3 linked regions of the Diceros bicornis minor genome follow. The protein of the gene in region 2 binds, or shares a complex with, the protein of the main gene of each other region. Links are inferred from orthologs where the notes say so. Each region holds a gene or a part of one and is shown on either strand. Other genes may lie near its edges. The genes, in order: MBIP, YEATS2 and KAT14.

Region 1 (7,370 bases), on a different chromosome or scaffold from region 2:
TATACAATTATTATCAAAATCAGTGAAAATTATAGAGGGAAACCTCCATCTCTAGTCTTTTGAGTAAATAAAAGTGAACCACCATAAACTTTTCTAGGACATGTGTTTATGCATACTATAAGGATATATTGCATATTACAATCAACTATGTTATTTTTTCAGAAATCATTTATTAAAAATTAGTCATGTTTTCTACAAAATAAAGACAAGTGTTACATTAGTTCAAATACAGATCTTGTGAGTTGTGATTATAATAAAAGGATGAATCACTATACAAAGAACAAAAGAGATCCAAAGTTACCAAAAAAATGCACTATATTGAATGAATACTAATTGACAGAAATTTACTACCCTTCAAATGTGAGACCAGAAACATCTGAAGTCCATACTAGACAAGCATAAAGAAACAGGAAGTTTTGTGTAGGCTGCACTGGCAAATATTAGTTAATATTAATTTAACTAAGGTTTTACATGAAGATTACCACATTAATCTTAATTTATATTATTTAACACCTATAAAGATTTTGTTAGACAACAACTTATGTGTGGAAGCAAAGTATTATTATACTTTTACAGTCTTCAAAGAGATCTATAGTCGATTATAACAAATTTATAAATACAGTTTGGGGATAATGCAGGCAAATCCTCAACCAAAACAAAGCATCAAATTTTCTAGAGAAAATAATAACTCATAGAAAATAAATCTTAACGTTAGGATCATATTCTCATTTCAATTCAGCAGAATTATGTAAGCCTTCAAGTGCAATTAAAGATCCTTTGTCTTTTAAGAAAGCCACATAATAATGTCACAAATTAAAATAATCCCAACGCATCCAACTATTTATTCAACAATTCTCTATTAGTAATATGAATTCTATGCATTTTTACCCTATAGAACTTGTAACTGTAAACCACTCACTCAAAAATGTATTAGTCTGCCATCAATATGGACTATTTAAATATGCATTTTCAGTAAAAACATTATTAAATTAATACGAAAATCCAAGCTAACAGTAAGTAATTCTTCAGCTTGGTAAAATGGCCATCCAGAGGCAAGCCATAAGGTCAAAACCAGTAAATTTGAAACCTGGAATAGAAAATACTTTTTAACATTCAACTTTATGTTTCCTATTGAGGAGAGCTAATAATACAATGATACTATACAAAACGAACTTAGGCATATTACAACATACATTTTAAAAAAATCCTTTAAACTCATTGCAAAAGGAAATAGGGATCTCCTCCAGAGGAAATTTTATTAGTACTCTGGCTTTCATTCTTATCTTTAAACAATGAATCTCAATACATAAAAAATATTACCAAAATGGTTAACATTTAATCGATGAGACAATCTTATTTTTTTGACACTCGTATAGATGGTCTGTTCACTATGTCACGTACACTCGCCAAATATTTACTCTAAACATTTTTGGCAGGTGACATAAACTTTAATCACATTTCTACTTCTACCTACAGAATATCTGAATGTTTAAAATTTTTAAATGAGCTTTAAAAATTAAGTATGCAAAATATTTTAAACAAAATGTTTAAATTATTTCTTAACATTATTTTAAAAAATATCTCATCACTGAAAAAAACCTCTGTAAATTATAGGTGAGCACGAAATTCTTTTATCCTGACATTAGAATATAAATAAACCTTCAAGTTCCAATCTTCATGCCATAAAAAGTTCTCAAACTTTTAAACCATTTACAGGTCTTGGGTCTTAAGCCTGAAATATTAATGTCCCCAAGTCCTTAAAAAATTTTTTTGTAGTAAGTCTTTGGCAAACAACTGAGTTTAAGTTACAATTTTTATCAGATTCTATGAATAATCGTTCCATTACACCAATGTTTAACTTAGAGTAATGCTCTTTGTAAGTCACGACAAACATATTAGGATTTTGAAAATTACTGAAATAATCTTTTAAAAAATCGATTCTCCATCCACCCAAGGCTTTTAAAAATAATTTTCTCAAATAAGACAAATGCTCTATTTTCATAAAGTTACCATATCTTCGACACAAATGCCTGCTGTGTCTGTTACATGCACTAGTACCAGACCCATACAAACTTTTACAGCTAAAAAATTTTCCGTCTAAGATATAAGAGAAAAAAATTCCTTTAAAGGCTGACAAACTTATTTTCAGGTTGTTTCTCATTTAAAATTTGTTTTGCATTTTACATCATGAAACATATATAATATATATATAGTGACTTGATTGTAATAGAGTGTAAGGAGCACTTTTATTTAAACCCAACTTTATTATGATACTTCTGCAAAAGCTATTTATCAGCCAGTTAAACTAGTTAATAGATAAACAACTAGCTAAACAACAGTTCTGATGCGAACAGTATCAACCACGGATAACTCATCCAACTTCATGCTATAAGTATTTTAGATTCATTCCTTTTATTTTTTTCCCCATTTGAAAGGGTAAGAGTTGCACACAATGGCCAGAAGGAAAAAAGAAATAAACCAAGTGACTCATAAGAGCAAATCACCCAAGCAAGGCGGAGAGAGGGTTTTTCTAGCAATCTCAGGCGGCACTAACGTATCCATTTCTAACGAATGAACTGGAGGAAAAGGGATCCTGAGCGCCAGACGCCTCGCAAACCCTCAGAGAAGCTTTTCCGCACTGATTCTCTCCAAGCCTGTTCCTCTTGGAGCCGGGTTGCTCTTATACTATCCTCACTCACTCTGGGGGAGAAGAGTTGCAATGAAATCTAGTCTGCCCCCGGTCCTGAACTAAGCCGGTGCGGCCCTCCTCACTCCGACCGCAAGCGTCCGGGCCTGGACTCCTTCCTCCCCCGGCCGCAGCCTCTCCGGCGGGTCCCACACCCGGCAGGCCTCCGCTGCCCCCGTCCTCCGCCAGAGGAAAAAGCGGGGAGGGGCCGCACGGTTCCCATACCCCTACTCCCACAGGCCACCACTCACTTGTCCGGCCAGGGTATGCAGGGAGCGAAAGATTTCGCAGAGCACCTCCTGGGAGAGGCTGGGGCTGCAGCTCCGCTCCAGGCTCCTGTTACCGATGCTAGGGCGACTAAGCTCGGTGGCCGCAGCCATGACACCTTCGCAGGCCACCCCCGCCACCACAGAGACGCGCTCACAGCCCCAACCCCTCCCTTTCCGGCTGTCGTCGCTCGGCGATGACGTAAAAACACAGCGTCTCGCTGAGAGCGGAGCTTTGAGGACCCACCCTCTCTATGTGATTGACAGCACGTGCACCAATCAGATGCAGCGATAGCGTTACGCGGAGGACTGAGAGCAGGAATTGCGGACCTGTGCAAGGCTGGGTGCAGTATTTGGGATGGTGGTTGGAGTCGTGGTCGGCTGAGGTTTAGCTTCATGAAGCCTACCTTGACTCTTAGATGTTGCTCAGAAGTGTTGGTAAGAGGAAACTTATAGCTAAATGTTACAGTTTTAGCCCCAAATTAAAAGTTGAAATTTTAACATGGCGCTCTGGCGTGGCATGGAGAAAAATCGCTGGTCAGGGATGCGGCGGTCCCCAGACGTATTTCTAAACGTTGAAGAACTCTTTCATACAGAATTGTCATAATTGGATAGGACGTTTTCATTGCTACAAGGTTGTTTAAAACTTACACAAATTAACGTCACTAATTTTTCATGCGAGGGACGGGGCTATATAAAAGAACAATCAAGTGCTCTGTTATGCCACATTTACTATCAAGGAAATGACATTAATTACTTTAAATCTGCAAAATAATTATGTCCAGTTTTAAAACGTGCATCAGTTGCTATTCTCTGGGTGATAGCGTAGAGACGCTCACCCTAAAACTGCTTCAAAGGAGTGAAACAGTCAATATGATTCCAACAGGAATTTAACCCAAGTAGGTAATTGCATGCAATACAATCTTTGAAATTGTAAGGAAGACAAATCCAAATTGAAATTTGACGAAGTATTATTTATCAGATAGCCTTATTAAAAGATATTTGAAGGACTTTGTAATCTTGTAGAATCTTAACATTAAAAAAAAATTTTGTCCCATTGAAAAAACAAGTTGTAGAAGAATTTTTAGTGTTAAGCTCTATTCAAAAACACTTATAAATAAAAATCATCAGTTCAAAGATAAGGGACGAGGGATTTACAATTCTTAATTCTAATAGTCTAATGCAGTTGCAGTAGAGGAAGCAAAGGTGGAAATTTGCATAAGGTATTCTCCAGTTTTTGAGTAGGCGGAGTGAAAGGGGAGGAATAAGGCATCAAGGAACTGGGATAAGGGCTGCAGGGAGAAAAGAACGTCTTTGACCTGTCCCTAGGGAGCCTCTTAATTAGGCTTTCATTTCCAAAGATCTCCAAGCTTGACAGGATCTTGAGAAATCTTGTCTGTTCCCATGTTCCACAGCAAGATATACAGTTTATAACCCAGCCTACATCTAGAGGCATCCAGAAAAAGGTTTCACAATATCTAACCCCAAATTGAGCAACCTTCTTATTCACCGCACTCATCCCCATAGCTAACCTAAATTCATAATTCTTAGCAATGTTAGCATATTTTCTTTGCCTTTGGTTCTCTTGTTAGAGGAGAATATTGTAATGGGGTAACTAGAAATTTTTGTTTTGTAACAAATTAGCAACCAGCTTCAGATCATTTATTTTCACCCAGATGTGAAGATTTGTTTTAAAACCTTTTTTTTCTTTTTTGAGGAAAATTGCCCTTGAGCTAACATCTGTTGCCCATCTGCCTCTTTTACTTTTTTCTCCCCAAAGCCCCAGTACATACTTGTATATCCTAGTTGTAGGCCCTTCTAGTTCATCTATGTGGGATGCCACCTCAGCATGGCTTGATGAGTGGTGAGTAGGTCCATGCCCAGGGTCTGAACCGTTGAACCCCAGCCCACTGAAGCAGAACGCATGAATGTAACCACTATACCATCTGCGGGCCACTAGGGTGTGAATTTTTCAAATATTCATGACTCTGGTATGAAACATGGGAACATGCTTTGTCTATTACCATCTTTGATAAGGCACTGCTCCTTCCTTTCTTTGCCATCACTGATTTTGGAATTTCAAGTTTTACTTGAACCCGTAATATAGACTTGAACCCCTAATATAGAACTAATTGATGGCCATTTGGTTTGTATATAAATTGTGTAATTCTGTTTAAATATCCAGACTTGTACTTATATCTTAGTATTGGTTATTAGATAATTCTTGGAATTTAACTCCTTTCTGCATTATTTCTTCTTTCCAGGGACCTTTCTTTCTCCTTTCTGACACCTACTACCTTCGTTTTGGAAATTTTTCTTATTTTCTCCTATTTATTTTATTTTTTTTTATTTCTCCCAAAGCCCCAGTAGACAGTTGTATGTCACAGTTGCACAGCCTTCTAGTTGCTGTATGTGGGACGCAGCCCCAGCATGGCCAGAGAAGCGGTGTGTCGGTGCGCGCCCGGGATCCTAACCCTGGCCACCAGCAGTGGAGCGCGCGCACCCAACCGCTAAGCCACGGGGCCGGCCCCTCCTATTTATTTTAAATAGACGAGTTTGTAGGCTGAAAAGATGTGGATTTCCTTGGGCTAACTTTAAATAGAAATATATAGATAGTAATGTATAACAAAAATATGATGAAAGCTATGAAATTTAGAAAGGGAATAAAGGAAATAAGTTGCCATTTATAGAAGACTAATTACAGTTTATGAAGTGGGTTGCTGAAAAATCTGCTCCCTGGCAGAAATGATTCAAAGTGTTGGTCTTGGCATTAGCAACGGAGTTAGAAATACTGTCCTGCAAGCTTATGCTAAGAATCAATTGGGAGGATAGAAACTGTAAATGAAATCTAGGCTATCTATCTTATCAACAAAAATGTCCGTTTTGAAGAACTTTAAAGGCACACCCTATAAATAATCCAGTGCACAGCAAAATGCCTGAGATATAATATGTGCTCAACAGATGCTTGTTCAGTGTATGGTAGTACAAATTTTTCCTAATGCAGAAAAGGAAAAATAAATGTTATTTGCCTTCTCTGGCTCCCCATCACCTGATGGATAAATCCAAGTTCCTTAGAATGGCATCTAAGGCTCTTCTCATGATCTGGCCTTTGCCTACATTTCCAGCCTCGTTTTCTGCCTCGTTTCTGGTGCTTAATGCTCTTGAAACTTCTTTTACTTCTTCAAAGCTTTTCTGTTTTTTGCCTACATGTTTTTATTTACACCCCTGCCTCTTGTCTGCTTGGAAAACTCCTATTCCTCCTCAACTCCAACTCAGAAATCCCTGGGAAGTCTCCTCACAGTCCTTCTCATAAAGAGCTTATCTTCTCTGGTAAACTACTCCTACGACTTGTATATACTTCCATTGTAATACTTATCACATTGATAATGAAATTTATTTGACTATGAATCTGCCTCCCCATTGAACTATGAGCATTTATGTGTATCATGTTCATGTACTTAAGGCTTAGCAAAGTTCCTGGCACAGAGTAATTGCTCGGTACATGCTTGCTGAGCTGAATTTATTTGCCTAAGGTGAACAGATTTGTGAAATGGAAAAAAAAAGAAACAAGTTTCTACTCTTGAGGGGAAACTGTAACCCACAGTAAGAATGCTATAAACAGTTCATTTCAAATAATGAAGCATGTCTGTTTATCCTCTTCTGGAATAGCAAATTCAAAATGCTCAAAGTTTTCTTAATGAATAAATATAGCTAGCCTCTGTGACCATTCTCATGAATGACACCCATACAAATTAATTGTACTTACTACATGCCAGACACTCTGATCAGCATTGGAGATACAAAGACGAATCAGACAAGGACTCTCTCTCAAAGAGCTCCAATTCTAGTGGGCTAGGCATATATGTAAACAGACAACTAGGATTATATTGTGACAATGATCATATTAGACGTATGTATAAAGCAAACAATCAGTTCCTTTGGGAAGGTGTTGGGTTCAGTGTCAGGAAAAGCTCTAAATACTTGATATAAAACATGAATTGAGGCTTAAATGATGAGTACAGATTCTCAATTTAGATAAAACGTGAGCAGCAATTTGAACGTGCTTGATGTGTGCAAGGAGGATAGACTGAATAGAGAAGTATGGCTAAGCCAGCATTTCCCAAAGTTTGTTCTGCTGAATTCTAGTCCTATAAGATGCTTCTTTCAACAGAAGTTTCCATGATCAAATAAGTTGGAGTAATATTGACTAATTGTGTTGTCATGCAATGGATCACAGAGTTCCACTTTCTGTTATCAAGGAGCTCAGCACTACAATCAAGTTCTGAGGACACAACTAAACCAATCTAGAAATCCCATCTTTGAGGATTTGTCTACTGGGACTCCCCATACCAATTTCTAATCAGTCCAGGTTTTTAGTCAGGAAACAGAAACTATACCTGTTGTTTGAACAGAGAAAA
Region 2 (7,302 bases):
CAGCTCCCTTGTCATTTTAATCTCCTGTACTTGGGAATGACAGATCAACTCAGAAGTATGATTGTCTCAGAAGCATGGAAACACAGTTAAGAGTTTCTCATTTAATTTAAATATTAACCCATTTTTACCAATTTTATCTGACCAGACACACAGAGATTTCACAAATAAAGAATTTTTTAATTCTTACTCATAGAAGTTAGATGTCTCGATTTAATATTTTTAATTTTCTACTTGGTAGAGGCATGGGTATAGAGAAATCGTTCTCTAATACGAGAAAACAGCAGTGTGAGTAAAACCATAAATGGCAACTGATGCTCAGAGTAGGATGGAGGAGTCAGGAAGACAACAGGGGGTAGTGGGACCTACTTCAGCCCTCCTGAAGGCACTAGGGCTCCTCTAAATGGGATTGCAGCTTTCCAGATGCATCCGTGGTGCAGCAGCTGAGCTCTCAGACTCAGTGCAGGACTGCTTGAGTCTGCAATCCAGCTCCACTTCTCAGCTGTCCAACACGTTATTCAACCTTTCTGTGCTTCAGTTTTCTCTCCCTTAAAGTATGAATAATAATAATAAAGTTGTTACTTAGATTAAATTTGTGAAGTGCTTGGAACACTGCCTGGTACATAGTGTTAGCTAATAACTAATTATAGGAATGTAGGTCCAGGTTACCACAGCTTCTGATTTTTCAGAGAAGGAGAAATCCAGGTTAGTATGTGAAATTTCTCAATATTTGGAGTGTTGGCTTGTTTAAAGCAGTGTGACATTGTAGGCTGTGACTGTGCAACCCCTCTGAACTGTACTATCTTCCACTGCAATCTCACCAGCTCTCACCAACTACCTGTTGACAACAGTATTGGCGGCAACTGACGGCACCACCCATCAGTTCTCCTCTGAGTCTCGGAACCACATGTACAGATGCCTGTTGAGTCTCTTCAGGTGGATGCCTCAAACTTAAAATGTCCCCAGGGGAATTCTTGATTCACCTACCCCGCAACATACAAAATCTGTTCTTCCTTCAGTCTCCCTCCTCTCGGTAAATGGCACCACCACCCACCATTTGCCAAAGCCAGGAACCTGGGAGTGACCCTCAGTTCTTCTCCTTCCTCATCTTCTCCTTCCAGGCCCACCTCCAGTGGTTGTGCGGGTGATTGCTGCTTGACTAGGCCTTGCCAGGGAGGGGCCTGAAATCCAACCACCAGCTGTGCCCCAGCACAGGGCACTGTCCCCTTAAAGGCTGGGGCAGCTTTTTCTCACATGCCATTAGACCTAGCAGGGGCCAGTCCCCTTCCCCTTCCTCGTCCGTCCCCTCCCAGTTCATTACCAAGTCTCTCAGTATTTTCTCCACAATTCTTGAATCTTTCCACTTCCCTCCATCTCCACTGTCTAGTGTAAGCTACCCTCATTTTTCACCTGGGCCACTCAAATTGCTTTCCAACTGTCTGGCTGCTGCTTTGTTCACACACCCTTCCAGGCATTCCCCACCCATTTGCTGGGTAAGTGGTCTTTTTTAAAGGGCAAATTGAATACCTTACTCCTCCGCTTAAAAACCTTTGATGACTTCCTGTTGTTTTCACACGGTAAAGATCAAAATCTTAACCCACCGCCCTGCGTGATCTTCCTCCTGCCTCACTCTCAGCCCCACCCTAACCACTCTGCTCTTGCTTCAGTGACCCTGGGTTTCTCTCACTTTGTCTCAGACTTAATCGTGCCCCAGCAGCTCCTACTGCCTTCAGGTTCCACTTACTATTTTTTCGGGGAGGCCTTTTCTCCCTCCACATTAGATCTGGTCCCGCTATGCTGTGCTTTCTCAGCACCCTGTCCATTTCCTTCCTAGATCTTATCTGTTATTGAAATGTACACACTGCATGCATACGTACAAACATCTGTAGCTATGTTATTTCTCTTTAAATGTTGCAAACTTTTTCATGGACTCTCATTCCTATTGGGGAATGGGCTAAACTTAAACCTGCCAATGAAAGTTATCTGGTCTTTTTTTTTTTTTTTAATTTTTTTTTTTATTTATTTTTCCTCCAAAGCCCCAGTAGATAGTTGTATGTCATAGTTGCACATCCTTCTAGTTGCTGTATGTGGGACGCGGCCTCAGCATGGCCGGAGAAGCGGTGCGTCAGTGCGCACCCGGGATCTGAACCCGGGCCGCCAGTAGCGGAGGGCGTGCACTTAACCGCTAAGCCACGGGGCCAGCCCGAAAGTTATCTGGTCTTAATAGTCTCATTTTGAGTAAACATTCAATCAATTCAAGGTTGCAGTCCTGTCAGAACTTTCCCCTTCCTCCTCTTGAGTTCCCAAGATGGCCTGTGGGATGCAACGGAAGCTTTGAGGTGGTGGCCAGAAGGGTCTCAGATCTGTGTGCAGAGCTGTAGCCTGGGTCCTCACTGGCCTGTGCTTCCTGGTCACTCCTGGTCACCTCAGCCCTGCTGGCATCAGCTGCTGAGGTTGTTGGCTGGCAAGCTCATGATCTGTTGCTTCAGCACCTTGAGAGTCTGACGTCTCACCTTCCCACTCCCCAATCCTCTATCCCTGCTCCTCTCCCCAGCTGACTTGGGAGCATTTCAGTTCTTGCTGGGGTCTTTGGCTCTGCCCATCCTTGAGGTCTGAGCCACATTCTCCAGCCATTCCCTGCCAATCAGTCCATCATTGCCTCTGTTTAGGATTACCAGGCCTCTGGCACAGTGCTCACTGCCCCGTCCATGGCTCTCAACCATTCTACTTTCTGCTTGCCTGGCAGGGAGCATACAGAGAAGTCTGAGATTCTGGCACGCCATCTGCAAGTTGTGGACACCCAGCAGCATCATCTCAGACCCCCTCCCTCCCCAATGCCACTGTCTGTTCCTGAGCCCTGCTCAATGTGAGACTTCTTGCCAGAATCCGGCAGCCTTCCAAGCTGGGCCATGGGAAGTGGGCTTCTCCCTCCCCCTCCACTTAGCTGGGTACTTCTATGCCTCTGCCTCAGGGTTAGACCCCAAAAGTAGGGGAACACTGACACACTCATGATAACCTCTTACCCTACCTCTTTCTCCATGAAATTTATTTTTATCTCCCCAATTCCTGTTCTCTCTTTGGGTCTTAGCTTAAGCTCAGGGAGGCCTTTCCGATAAAATTGACTGCAAATTTCACAAAGGCAGGAACTGTTTTGTTCATTTCTGATCCTCAGTGCCTAACACAGAGCTTGGCACACAGTGCCAGAACACAGAATAGAAATGCAATAAAAATTAGATTAATAAATATTGTTAATCTATCTTTACCTCTAATAGACCTTAAGGTCAGGAGACCAAGCGTGACATATTATAAATCCCTCTATTTCTTTCCCATGAAGGGCTCTGGAGTCAGTTCCTGGCCCTATTAGCCATTCATTCAACAAATATTTTCAGAGTGCATACTATGTGAAATGTACTAGGCTTGCTATTGGAGATAAAGAAGTAAATCTTTTAAAACATTTTTATTAAACATTAAATACATCCAAAAATTGGTAACATATATGTAAAGTACAAAAAATTACGAAGTGAATCCCCTCTAAACCTACGACCCAGTTCCAGTGGTAAACCTTTACATAGTGAGGAGAAGAGATTGAAGGCGGACAGAAACAGATCACTGGAGACCAGTTGGGAGGCTACGGCGGTCTTGGACAGAGAGGTGACCAGGGTCTGGGGTAGGGTGGTACAGGGAGAAGAAAAGCGAAGAGTGAGCTCAAGAGATATTTAGGACGAAAACTGGACTTGGTGGATTGTCACTCACTAGCTGTGCGACCTAGATAAGTCTCAATCTTTCCGAGCCTCAGTTTCTGCATCTGTAGAACAGGTTAGAAATAGCTATTGTTATTTGTATTCCTAGCACCTAGCACAAAACTTGCTACGAGATGACACACACAAAAATCATAGCCACTGTTGTTATTACTGGCGAAGCTTCATAAAGGCCGGCAGAATGAATATTCTCTGAAACTTCGGACTGGACCTCGCCATCTTCTTCTAAAGAGGAAACTGATAAATGACGCTGCCTTTCCCAGCACCGACGCCCGTACTCCCCAGGCAGCGCAGCAGCGCCGGCCAGGGTCAGAGTCTGGGCCCGGGCCAACCGCCAACCCCCGCGCGGGCCCAGGCCCCAGCACCAGCCTGTGCCCCGGCCCCGCCCACATCCCTGCGAGCTCCGCCCCGGGGCCGCGCGCGCGCGCCGCCGCCGCCGCGCGCACCCCGCCCCGCCCCTGCTGCTGACGTGCGCGGCGAACGGGCCGAGCGGTCTCCGCCGAGCCGTGTGCTTCCGCGGGCTCCGGGGTCGCTGGGGCCTCGTGGCGGGGCGGCTCTGCGGGGCTTCGTCCGCTCTCTCTCCTCGCCCGGGCCCTTTCGCGGCCCCCGGCGGGGCCTGTGCTTCAGCCGGAGACCGGGAAAAGGGTGAGTGTTGGCGGGAGCGGGATCGGACCGGCCGGGCGCGCGCGCCGCTCTCCGGAGCATTGTCTGGGCGGGGGCGGCGCGGGCACGTGCGCGCCCCTCCCCCACCCGCCGGCGCGCGGGCCCCCTGCCGAGGGGAGGGAGGGAGCGGGTGACTGCGGAGAGGAGAGGATCGGGCGCTGGGGGCTGGATCCACGGTGACTGTGTCTGTCAGGCAAGTCTCCGAAGCTGGAACCCGGAATTTGGGTGTGTGTGAGGGTCCTTTCCTAAGGGGCGCAGCGCTCTCTGAGGGGATGGGGTCCCTTGAGCCCCAGTGCCCGGAGCTTTTAGGATGTTAAGCTTGGTGCCCTGTGCCACCAGTTGGAGACGAGATTTGGCCCCAGCACTGGCAAGTTGTGAATTTACCGACAAGAATCCTGGAATCTCCGTCTCCATCCCTGCCGTCCCTCACCCCGGTGAAGGGTGAGTAGGCTGTAGAAAGGTAGGAGGATCTTCCAGGGATGGTGTCCGAGTTAAAGGTGTGAGATAGTGCGGGGTTGGGGTGGAAAGCTTGGGAAAGTGAGTTCTTGGAAGAAAGGCTGGTTTGGTGGGTTGTGGCAAGATTGCAGGAGACAATGAGGTTTATATCATAACCTTTTTTTTCTATTGTGAATGTGATTATGTTAAAAACTAGAACGTAGAAGACGAAAATATCACCAGTAATCCTACAGCCCTGACACATCATTCTTGGAGTTTTGGTATGTTTGCTGATATTTTCCTCTAAGCTTATAACAGTTACAATGAGTTTACCTACAGTTTTGTACTCTCTTTTCTCATTAACGTGTTTTCTCATATTTCTCATATTTCATAACATGTAATATTATATAGTATTCAGCAATATCATTTCCTCCTTAATAAGCAAGTAGCAAGTATTCATCATAGAAAAATGTAAAAATACAGTACTGGTAGTTTTATTGCCTAGAGATATTATCATTGAGTGTATGTTTTTGGTTGTGTACAGTCTTTGAAAGATAGGAGCAGATGATGTCCTGATTAGGAATTTAGATTTTATGGGAATATTTTGAAGGTTTTAAGAATGCAAGTAGAATAATTTTGACTGCTCTGTGGGGGAAGAGGGCAAGAATGGAAGCTGGGAGATTAGTTAGGATGCTGTTTGCAATACCTGGCATAGGTCCATGGCAGTGGAGATGGAGAAGACTAGAAAGATTTTAAAATATTTTGGAGGTAGAATGAGCAAGACTTGGAAGTGGATTGGTGAGGGAAAGGGAGAACTCTGCTTTTGATATTTGTTTTAAGCAACTCTGAGTAGATGGCATGTAGTGAGCAAGTGGAGGATGGAAGAGAGAAATTTGAGGTGGGAAAAAGAATGAGTTCTGTTTTAAATTTGAAGTGCATATTAGTTATGAAGTAGATATGGTGAGGAGGCAATTGGATGTACAGGTTTGGAACTCACGGAAGAGAGAGCCTAGAGCTGGAGATAAAAATTTGAAATACTCAGTATATAGATGATAATCAAAGGTATGGGACTGTATGAGATCACTTAGGAAAAGAGTATAGATGGAGAAGTGAAAAATCAGGGCTCAGACACTCCCGTACTTTGAGGTGTGGTAGAGGAAGAAGATTGAGCACAGGACAGAAGAAACAGCCAGTGGGGTAGGAGAAAAAGCAGCAGACTGGTGTCATGGAAGCCAAGAGAGATAGTCTAAGTTTCTGGAAGATGGAGAATTGGTTCTTTAGTGCTTCTGAGATGTTTAGTGAGATGCTCAGTTGGATTTGGCAGTGTGGAGGTTATTGGTTTTGGTCGTTGGTATTACTGTTCAGAGTTCTAGAAGTGGGAGGTGGAAACCAGATTGGAATAATTGAATGGAACATAAGGAAGTGAAGACAATGAGTGTAAATTAGAAAAAAGTACCCCTTCTTCAAGACACCTTATTTCCATCTGCCCTCAAACTAAATTTTTTTTTTTTTTTTGTGAGGAAGATCAGCCTTAAGGTAACATCCGTGCTAATCCTCCTCTTTTTGCTGAGGAGGACCAGCTCTGAGCTAACATCTATTGCCAATCCTCCTCCTTTTTTTTTCCCCCAAAGCCCCAGTAGATAGTTGTATGTCATAGTTGCACATCCTTCTAGTTGCTGTATGTGGGACGGGGCCTCAGCATGGCGGAGAAGCGGTGTGTCGGTGCATGCCCGGATCCCAACCCGGTCAGCCAGTAGCGGAGTGGGCGCACTTAACCACTAAGCCACACGGCCGGCCCAACCCTCAAACTAAATTTGATAGATGAAAAATAGTGTCTTGTTTAATTTTTCATTCCTTGATTACTAGTATGTTTGAACATTTTTCACATTTATTGGCCATTTTTGAATTTCTTTTCGTGTCCTCTGTGCATCTTTTTAATTGTATTTGTCATTTTCTAATTGATTGTCAAGAGTTCTCTATCATTAAAAATATATAGCTTGACATAAAACTTGCAGAATTTCCCACCCGTGTACAGTCATATGTCACTTAACAATGGGGATATGTTCTGAGAAATGTGTCATAAGGCGATTTCATCTCTCTGCAAACATCATAGGGTATACTTACCAAAACCTTGATGGTATAGCCTACTATACACCTAGGCTCTATGGTACTAATTTTATGGGACCATGTTCGTATGTGCGGTTCATCATTGGCCAAAACCTCGTTATGCAGCGCATGAGTGTATTTTTACCCCCTGGAAATAAATGCATTTATTACATAGGCTCCATCAGGAAGGACATGGTTAATAATGGAAAAACCATACTTATCATTTAACTCCTGTCTACTTTTTTTTTCACTTGTAGCAAAATACACATAACATGAAATTTACCACCTTAACCATTTTTTTGGGGGGGAGGAAGATTGTCCCTGAGGTAACATCTCTCACCAA
Region 3 (8,069 bases), on a different chromosome or scaffold from region 2:
TAAATGGTGTTGGGAAAACTGGACAGCCACATGCAAAAGAATGAAAGTGGACCATGTGCTATCGCCACTCACAAAAATTAACTCAAAATGGATCAAAGACCTGAAGGTGAGACCTGAAACTATAAAACTCATAGAAGAAAATATAGGCAACACACTATTTGACATTGGGTTTAAAGGAATCTTTTCGGATGACATGCCTACCCAGACTAGGGAAACTAAAGAAAAAATAAACAAGTGGGACTTTATCAGACTAAAGAGCTTTTATAAGACAAATGAAACCAGAATCAAGATGAACAAACAACCAACCAGCTGGGAGAGAATATTTGCAAAACATACATCTGACAAGGGGTTGATCTCCATAATATATAAAGAACTCACACAACTGAACAACAAAATAACAAACAACCCGATCAAAAAATGGGCAGAGGAAATGAACAGACACTTCTCCAAGGAAGATATACAGATGGCCAATAGGCACATGAAAAGATGCTCAACATCACTAATCATCAGGGAAATGCAAATCAAAACAACACTAAGATACCACCTCACACCCGTTAGAATGGCTATAATCACCAAGACAAAAAACAACAAATGTTGGAGAGGATGTGGAGAAACAGGAACCCTCATACACAGCTGGTGGGAATGCAAATTGGTGCAGCCTCTATGGAAAACGGTATGGAGATTCCTCAAAGAATTAAAAATAGAGATGCCCTATGATCCAGCCATCCCACTACTGGGAATCTATCCAACGCACCTGAAATCAACAATCCAAAGAGGCTTATGCACCCCTATGTTCATTGCAGCATTATTCACCATAGCCAAGAAGTGGAAGCAACCTAAGTGTCCCTCGACTGACGATTGGATTAAGAAAATGTGGTATATATATACAATGGAATACTACTCGGCCATAAAAAAAGACAAAATCGTCCCATTTGCAACAACATGGATGGGCCTGGAGCGTATTATGTTAAGTGAACTAAGCCAGAAAGAGAAAGACAAACACTGTATGATCTCACTCATATGTGGAATATAAACCAACACATGGACAGAGAAAACTGGACTGTGGTTACCCGGGAAGTGGGGGTGGGGGGTGGGCACAAGGGGTGAAGGGAGTCATATATGGGGTGATGGACAAACAAAAATGTACAACCCAAAATTTCACAATGTTAGAAACCATTAAAATATCAAAAAAAAAAAAAAAAAAAAAATAGCTGAGCTCCCACTGTGCTAGGCAGTGGGCTAGGAACCAGGAATACTACACCCAAGACAGACATAGTACCTGCAAATTCTGTGAGGGCTACATACAGGGAAACAGGTAATCACAAGAGCACAGTGATTCTCCCTCCTCACTGTGCATCAGCATCACGCACAGTTTTTGTTTTAAACATGCCTGGACCTACCCCACACAAAATGAATCAATCTCTGAAAGTGAGGCCTGAGTCTCTGCTTTTTTTTTAAAGTTCCCAGGTGATGCTGACACTCTGGGAGACATGAAAACCACTGGAGTGGAATGTGATGTGTGCCATAGGGCAACGTGTGGGCACATAAAAGAGGTACCCAACACATATTAGGAAGAGAGCTAGAAAAAGTAGGGTCTACAGGGGACCCAAAGGATGACTAGAATTGGCCGGGTGAAGAGAGGCAATTGTGTGTATGGGGGGAGGGATGGAGGCTATAGAGATGCATAGCCCAGAGAGGAAATTAAAATGTGCAAAGTCCTCGGGATAAGAAATAATTGTTTGTGGTGAGAAAAAGCTCATCCTAACTGCAAAGTTCTGTTTATATGTGGGGATAGGAGGCTACTAAGGAGAGGCTGAAGAAGTTAGCAGGGGCCGATCATGAAGGACAGTTTAAAACGTACCCTGCGAGGACAAGGGGAAAGCCACTGAGATTTTCAGGCAGAACCCTGAATTAATAAGCAGAGACAGCTCGGAAGCAACAACTAGCTAATATGTAATAAAATCTAGGTTTGTTTTCTGTGAAAATGTTATCTATTAATAGTAACTATTAATCTGAATAGATGAATCCATCTTGAAAACATTTCCACGTAACAGAAAAGGACCCACTTCACAATTATATATAAAAATTTCTCTGATCTAGTTACCAATTCTATTACACAAAGTATTCCTCCAGTACATATGTCTTTATTAGTCTCTGCCTAATGGAAAAATCCTGTTTGGTAAGTCTCATGATGGCTGGCAAAGCATACTCCCTGAGAGCTAAGAAGCTGGCAGCTAAAAGATGGAGCTGAAACACTGAGGTGTCAAGGGGGTACGTAACTATGTGCCTCTCGAAGTAGACAAGGAGGCCAACAAGTAGGAAACAAGAACGGTCCTAGAAAAAGGGCACAAAACACTTTTAATCTGCTAATTCTGACCTCACTTCAGCATACAACAGCAGGAGTTTTCCACCTAAGTTAAATATTAACAGAGTAATTTTTGTGAACTTGACCTTTAATTCTACACTCGGCCTAGAATTTGGCCCCAAATCCATAACAACGTGATCTTGGAAGAAAAATGTGACTAAGTCTTTAAGTAACAGAGGATTTCCAACTTTCTAATTTTTATTGGATTACCATCAAGAATGTTAATTTAACAACATGATAGAGGTTGACAGTAATTTTTATTAGTACAAATGTGTCTATGTTTTATATAAATTTGTAATTATTCAACTAAACTAATAATAAATATAATAATTATCTTTTTACTTAGGTCTGTTTTACATTCACGTTTCTTTCACAGGTTAGAAAAACAAACCTGCACATAGGAACTGACAAATCAAAGGAAATGAGAAGCTCCTTACTGGCTGGTATCCATCTCTGGCACTTGTCACAGAAGTAGGCCAGCCGTTCCTCCATCCACGACACGTCTCCTTCGTCACTGTTGAGGGAGTCCCCACTCTGATCATGAGACAAGTCCACTGATGCCTGGTCCTCTGACTCAACAATCAGCAGAGTCTCCCCCTCCACCTCACCCTCCTCAAGTCCTTCTGAGGTAGATGTTCTAGTGGCTTCATCATCGTGCCGACTTATCAAACCACTCAGGTGGACGTTACTATCCATCCCTTCCTTCTCACAGGTGCAGAAGCGCTTCTCAGGAACAATCCTAAGCTCTGGACACCAAGCTTAAAGCGGCTTCTATCAGGATCACACAAACAGAAACTCTTCAGAAGAGTGTCTGCCCACTTCTTTACTCAGATATAGGAGACTTTTAAAGCAATCATTTAAAATATATGACCCATTGTCCTTTTTTTGATCAAGTTTAAAAAGACAGTGACAAAAACAAGGTTGAAATTTCTCTAAGCTGTTCTCCATCAACACACTCACACACACATTTAACGCTGTCTGTCCCATCGATTTTTCCCATTCATTTCAAGTCATGTTTTTTGAGATCCTTTTGCCAATACCATCTTCTCTCTTTCTGCTTCAAGTTGCTCAGTTAAAATAATCTGTTCTCCCAAAAGGCGAATGTTTTCTTTTTTCCGATTTTGTCTCTCAATGTCTCTGATCACTCCGTCACGAAGCCTCTAAAAACGTAAGCAACAGATTTCAGTAACACCCTGACCAGGTGGTTCCCATCCTTGTGCCATCCAAATCCAAACAACAGTGTTACCAAAATACACCTAAAACCTTCAGATTCCAAATACCCAGTTACTACTGTAACTTTCTGTATAAATGTAAAATGTAATAAAGAAACCATCAACTTAACTGGGTACTGTGCTATAGCGTTATTACTGAAATGACTTATCATATTTTAAGAAATTCCTGAACATTCAGTATAGAAAACTTAATGGGAAATAACAATTAAAAGAGAAAAAACTGCCACTATACTGAATTTTAAAAGTTTGATAGAGGATGCTTTAAAAACTTGATGAGATACTACATCAACTCTGAACTACTTTCCTGTTAGCAATTACCCTAGTTGAATAATAAACATCAAAGAAAAAAAACGATTACTAAAACTTGAACAAACTGTAAGGAAGCAAGAAAGTAAAAAAACTGGCGCCCCCCCAGAATGTAAAGAGAAAAAGTAAAAATTATTCAGAATTACTAATCAATTACATAAGAAGGAGAGAAGGGGAAAAAATAATGCTACTATCAGAGGAAAAAATAAAGGCCCGTCAATGGTAGTTACTTTGATAAGCACTAAAGACAGGCAGAAAATTCCAGAACGTGGACCTGGCACCTAAGATGAGACTTATTAAAGCATCAATCCAGTCATTACTAGTAATTAACACTTTATAGATTATAGGTCACAAAACACTCTATTAAGTTTTTAACAGTGGCCCTGTGAGGTAGAATTAATGGGAGTGGGGCTGGGGCATTTTTTTTAAATTATTATGTCTATTTAAAAACTCACCAAGTACCTACTTGCTGGACCTCCTCCAGGCCTAGAGCTTCATTTGCTATCATGGGGGAGTTGGGAAATTTAAGAGTCCGGGGACTGATAACACAGCTGAAAACCAACTTTCTTGAACCCTGTACCCTTTGCAAGATCTCCAGAGACAGAAATGGAGACACTCATTCCACTCCTCCCTCCCCATTTCTTCCTGTCCTGGGCTCCTTACACCATGACACACCTACAACACCCCAACGCACCCCCCCGCACAAAGTCCACACCCACTGTAATCACTGTTTCCACACCTGCCTCTGAGATCCTACCCTTCCTTTCTCAGACACTTTAGCACATGGCTTAGGATCTTGCTCTCCATCCATCATCTGCTATCTTCCTCCAAGTTTCAATGTCTTTGTGATTGCCTCGCACATCCCTCCTGGGACTTCCACTTAACTACCTTACTAACCGCCTCGCTTACAAACCACCAAGACCTCTTCACTATTACAACTCTAACACCTAGAACTCTGGCTCCTCCCGCAGTACCACTTGTTTTGCTGGGTTCCTGTGAGGATTAAAGATGATGTACATAGAGTACAGTACCTGGCATGTCGTAGACAGTCAAGAACAACAGGAAACAACAATCATTCTTTTATTTCTTGCTTCCTTGAAACTTCCAATATGTCAATGTTTTTTTGTGGTGAGGAAGATGGCCTTGAACTAACATCTGTGCCAATCTTCCTCTATTTTGTACGTGGAATGCCGCCACAGAATGGCTTGATGAGTGCTGTAGGTGCGCGCCTGGGATCTGAAGCCACAAACCCCGGGCCGCTGAAGCGGAGTGCCCCAAACCGAACCACTACGCCACTGGGCCAGCCCCTCAATCTTTTGTCCTACTCTTTCCCATTGCTGGGAAGTAAGCCCACCCACATGAACAACTGGATGTAAAGTAAACACACTATTCTGGTCAATCTTTTCTTCATCTCTAACTTCCAAATACCTAAATCCTCCTGTTGTTCCACTCTCTAACACAGTGGTTCTCAACCTGGGCTACATGTTAGAATCCCGTGAGTCAATTTTAAAACAAAGCTAAGCTGGATCCCCATGCCCTAGAGATGTTGTTTAATAGGTCTGGAGTAGGGCCCAGCCTCAGCTGCACTGTAAAAACTACCCAGGAATTGGGATGTGTAGCTAGGGTTCAGAACCAAGCTCTAACTCATCCCTAGCCCGTACCCTTTAAAAGTCCCTGCATTGGCTGACCTCAGAGCTATATCTGACATACTATCCTCCACTCCATCTCAAATTTTCTCAAGATCACAGTCTTTTCTTTCCTAGAGGAAGAAGTCTCCTGCCTCTATTCCAAATGCTACCCCCTTAGAACCTGTACTTTAATCCCAAATCTCTAATCTCTTCCATGCCCTTTCATCATTAGTCTCCCATTACGCCCTCCTCAAAATTTTTGTATCATTACAGGCTTCCTCTTTGATTTCCAAAGTCTGAACAGCGAGGACTAGACCTCATGTGCTTCACCTCTGTATACCAAGCACAGAAGACCGTCCAGTGCAAAAAAAACTGTTCACTATTGATTCATCCAGTCCATTACTTCCACCATTGGCAAACTAGGCTAAACCCCAATCCCTCACCAAGATGTTGAGACTTCACCCACGACCTAGTTGCTCCTTCTCACACTCAACACCCAGCACTGTTTTGAATCATTTAGTCTCAGGAGCAGCTGTGCTTCCTCATCTTTGTTTCCCAAAGTGCCTAGTGTGGTGCCTGACACACAGTGACCAGTCCTTAAATGTTTGCCAATTGAATAAGAAAGAAAATGTGAACTGAGAAATACAGAACGGACGGTCAGTCCACTGATCGGTAAGTCTCGGATATTTCCAGAAATAAAAGTACTGAAAAGAGAAAATTGGGAGGCTGGTCTCTCTAGTGTTCCCTGAATCTAGTTTCCATAGCAAAGTGTTCCTTAAAAAAAGAAAAGAAAAACCAAGTATCTCACCAAATTACCTTGGCCAAAAAAGCACGACGGCGAGAGCGGGGACGCCTTCTTTTTCATGGGATAAAACCTTTTTAACTTTTAAAGATATCAAAACCTAATCTTGGGCCTGGGGGTAGAGAGAGGCCGGTAACTCGCTGGGTGCACCCCAAAGAAACCCTTCCCCGCCTCTACTTTCCAGCGGCCCAAATGAGGTGCTGGAAGGTCTCTATCCCCGCAAGCTGCCTGCGACCTGAAAGCAGGGCCGCCGAGCACCCGCGGGCGTGCGTTGGCGGAGCCAGGTGACTTCGGCGCGGAGGGCCGGGCCCCCCGGGCCCCGAAGACGCACGCGGCCGCGGGCTGCAGCGCCCAGGGCTGAGCGGGCGGCGGCCGGGCCGCAGCGGGAAGGCGTGGAGAAGCCGAGCCGCGCCGCGAGGACCCGACAGGAGGAGAGGCCCGGGGCACCGCGCGGAGGGCCCGCGGAGAGACGGTCACGTGACACCGACCTGCTGGTCCTGCCGCTGCTTCAGATGCACGCCGGCCACGGTGGCCGCCGTCAGCACCACCGAGAGGCCCAGCACCGCCTTCGAGCTCCTCGACATCCCCCCGCCGGCGCCGCGACCTCCTCCCCCGCCCGAGGCGTAGGACCGCCGCCCTGCGCGCCGCCGCCGGTGCGGCAGCCTCGACTCCTCGAGCGCAGAGCCCCCGCCGCCGCGAGCGCCGCCCGCCGCCGCCAGACGCGAGCAATCGAGAGCCGAGCGGTGCCCCGGCTTCGCGGAAAGCGAGGCTTTGGTTGCGGCCCCCAGACAGGAGGGATCCCCTCCCCACCCTGCAGGCGGCCGGGTTAGAACTCCCAATTCAAATTCTAAAGAGCCCCGACCCAAAGCTGGCCCCAGCACCTTGCCGGGGTAGGGGGTTCCCTGCCTGAGCCACCTCATCTCCTCCCCGCCCCCCGCCCCCCGTCCCCAGCGGCGGGAGGCGTCCTGGGGGCCGGATTCCCGATGCGGTACCTTGCTGACCCCTCTCCCACGCGCGTCCCTTCTGAGCGCAGGGCTGACCCAGCTGCTCTGCTCAATACCAGCTGCACCAACGCAGCCCCCGTTGCCCCTGTGGCGGGGTAAGTGCCACCAGGAGATGGAGTTTTTGCTTCTTAAACGTGTAGACACGGTCACCTGCTTTCACCTTGGCGATCTGGGGTGGCTGGTCAGGGTCTGATTTTTCTTAAAATCGAAAACCCTTCTGGCTAAAGAGCATGCTAACGGGGCAGCAACACCTCCTTGCCTCCTGATAGGAAAAGCGCTGGTCACCGAGTTGCCCATGTAAATCCTTAAGAGATCACTTTTACTCCCTGGGAGCCTCAGGTCCCGCCGCGGTAGGAGAGGATTCCTGATAGCGCCGTTACTGGGAATGTGCGTGAGGGCATGAAGTAGTGCGTTGACAGTAGCGCAAAGTGCTGTGCAAGGCACGGAAAGACTTTGGCTTTCCAGTGAAGAGATATTTTCATTGTCATTCTTTCACACTAGAATTCACAGGGAACAGGGAGGTGACGTCAGCATCATGGCGGAGTGAGCTTTCCGTGAACTCTACCCCGACAAGATACAACAAAAGCAACAGCCACAGACCAACAACGGAATCCCAGACAGTGAAAACCTAGAGCGGAGGGATCCATACTGCCCGCACATCTGAGAGCGGAACCTGCTGGGCCCCCTGAGGAAGTGGGGAGAGGTAAGGAGAACTCCGCTCCCCCCCCATCA

Evidence for each region.
Region 1: YEATS2 (region 2) and MBIP share a complex: the UniProt entries of both Homo sapiens proteins name them as parts of the ADA2A-containing complex. The link is inferred for Diceros bicornis minor from reciprocal best matches to the Homo sapiens genes YEATS2 and MBIP.
Region 3: YEATS2 (region 2) and KAT14 share a complex: the UniProt entries of both Homo sapiens proteins name them as parts of the ADA2A-containing complex. The link is inferred for Diceros bicornis minor from reciprocal best matches to the Homo sapiens genes YEATS2 and KAT14.

Annotation. Positions count from the first base shown.
Region 1 is NC_080744.1:13,267,858-13,275,227, reverse strand, and holds the start of MBIP (MAP3K12-binding inhibitory protein 1), read right to left. Parts: upstream 3,100-7,370; 5' UTR 3,067-3,099; coding exon 2,938-3,066; intron 1-2,937. UniProt on the Homo sapiens protein: Inhibits the MAP3K12 activity to induce the activation of the JNK/SAPK pathway. Component of the ATAC complex, a complex with histone acetyltransferase activity on histones H3 and H4.
Region 2 is NC_080754.1:39,887,820-39,895,121, reverse strand, and holds the start of YEATS2 (YEATS domain-containing protein 2), read left to right. Parts: upstream 1-4,269; 5' UTR 4,270-4,400; intron 4,401-4,573; exon of another isoform or gene 4,574-4,643; intron 4,644-4,757; 5' UTR 4,758-4,859; exon of another isoform or gene 4,860-4,878; intron 4,879-5,070; exon of another isoform or gene 5,071-5,134; intron 5,135-7,302. UniProt on the Homo sapiens protein: Chromatin reader component of the ATAC complex, a complex with histone acetyltransferase activity on histones H3 and H4. YEATS2 specifically recognizes and binds histone H3 crotonylated at 'Lys-27' (H3K27cr).
Region 3 is NC_080758.1:44,871,553-44,879,621, reverse strand, and holds the start of KAT14 (cysteine-rich protein 2-binding protein), read right to left. Parts: upstream 3,063-8,069; 5' UTR 3,062-3,062; coding exon 2,803-3,061; intron 1-2,802. Other genes in the region: protein PET117 homolog, mitochondrial, read right to left, coding at 3,376-3,525, 6,822-6,917. UniProt on the Homo sapiens protein: Component of the ATAC complex, a complex with histone acetyltransferase activity on histones H3 and H4. May function as a scaffold for the ATAC complex to promote ATAC complex stability. Has also weak histone acetyltransferase activity toward histone H4.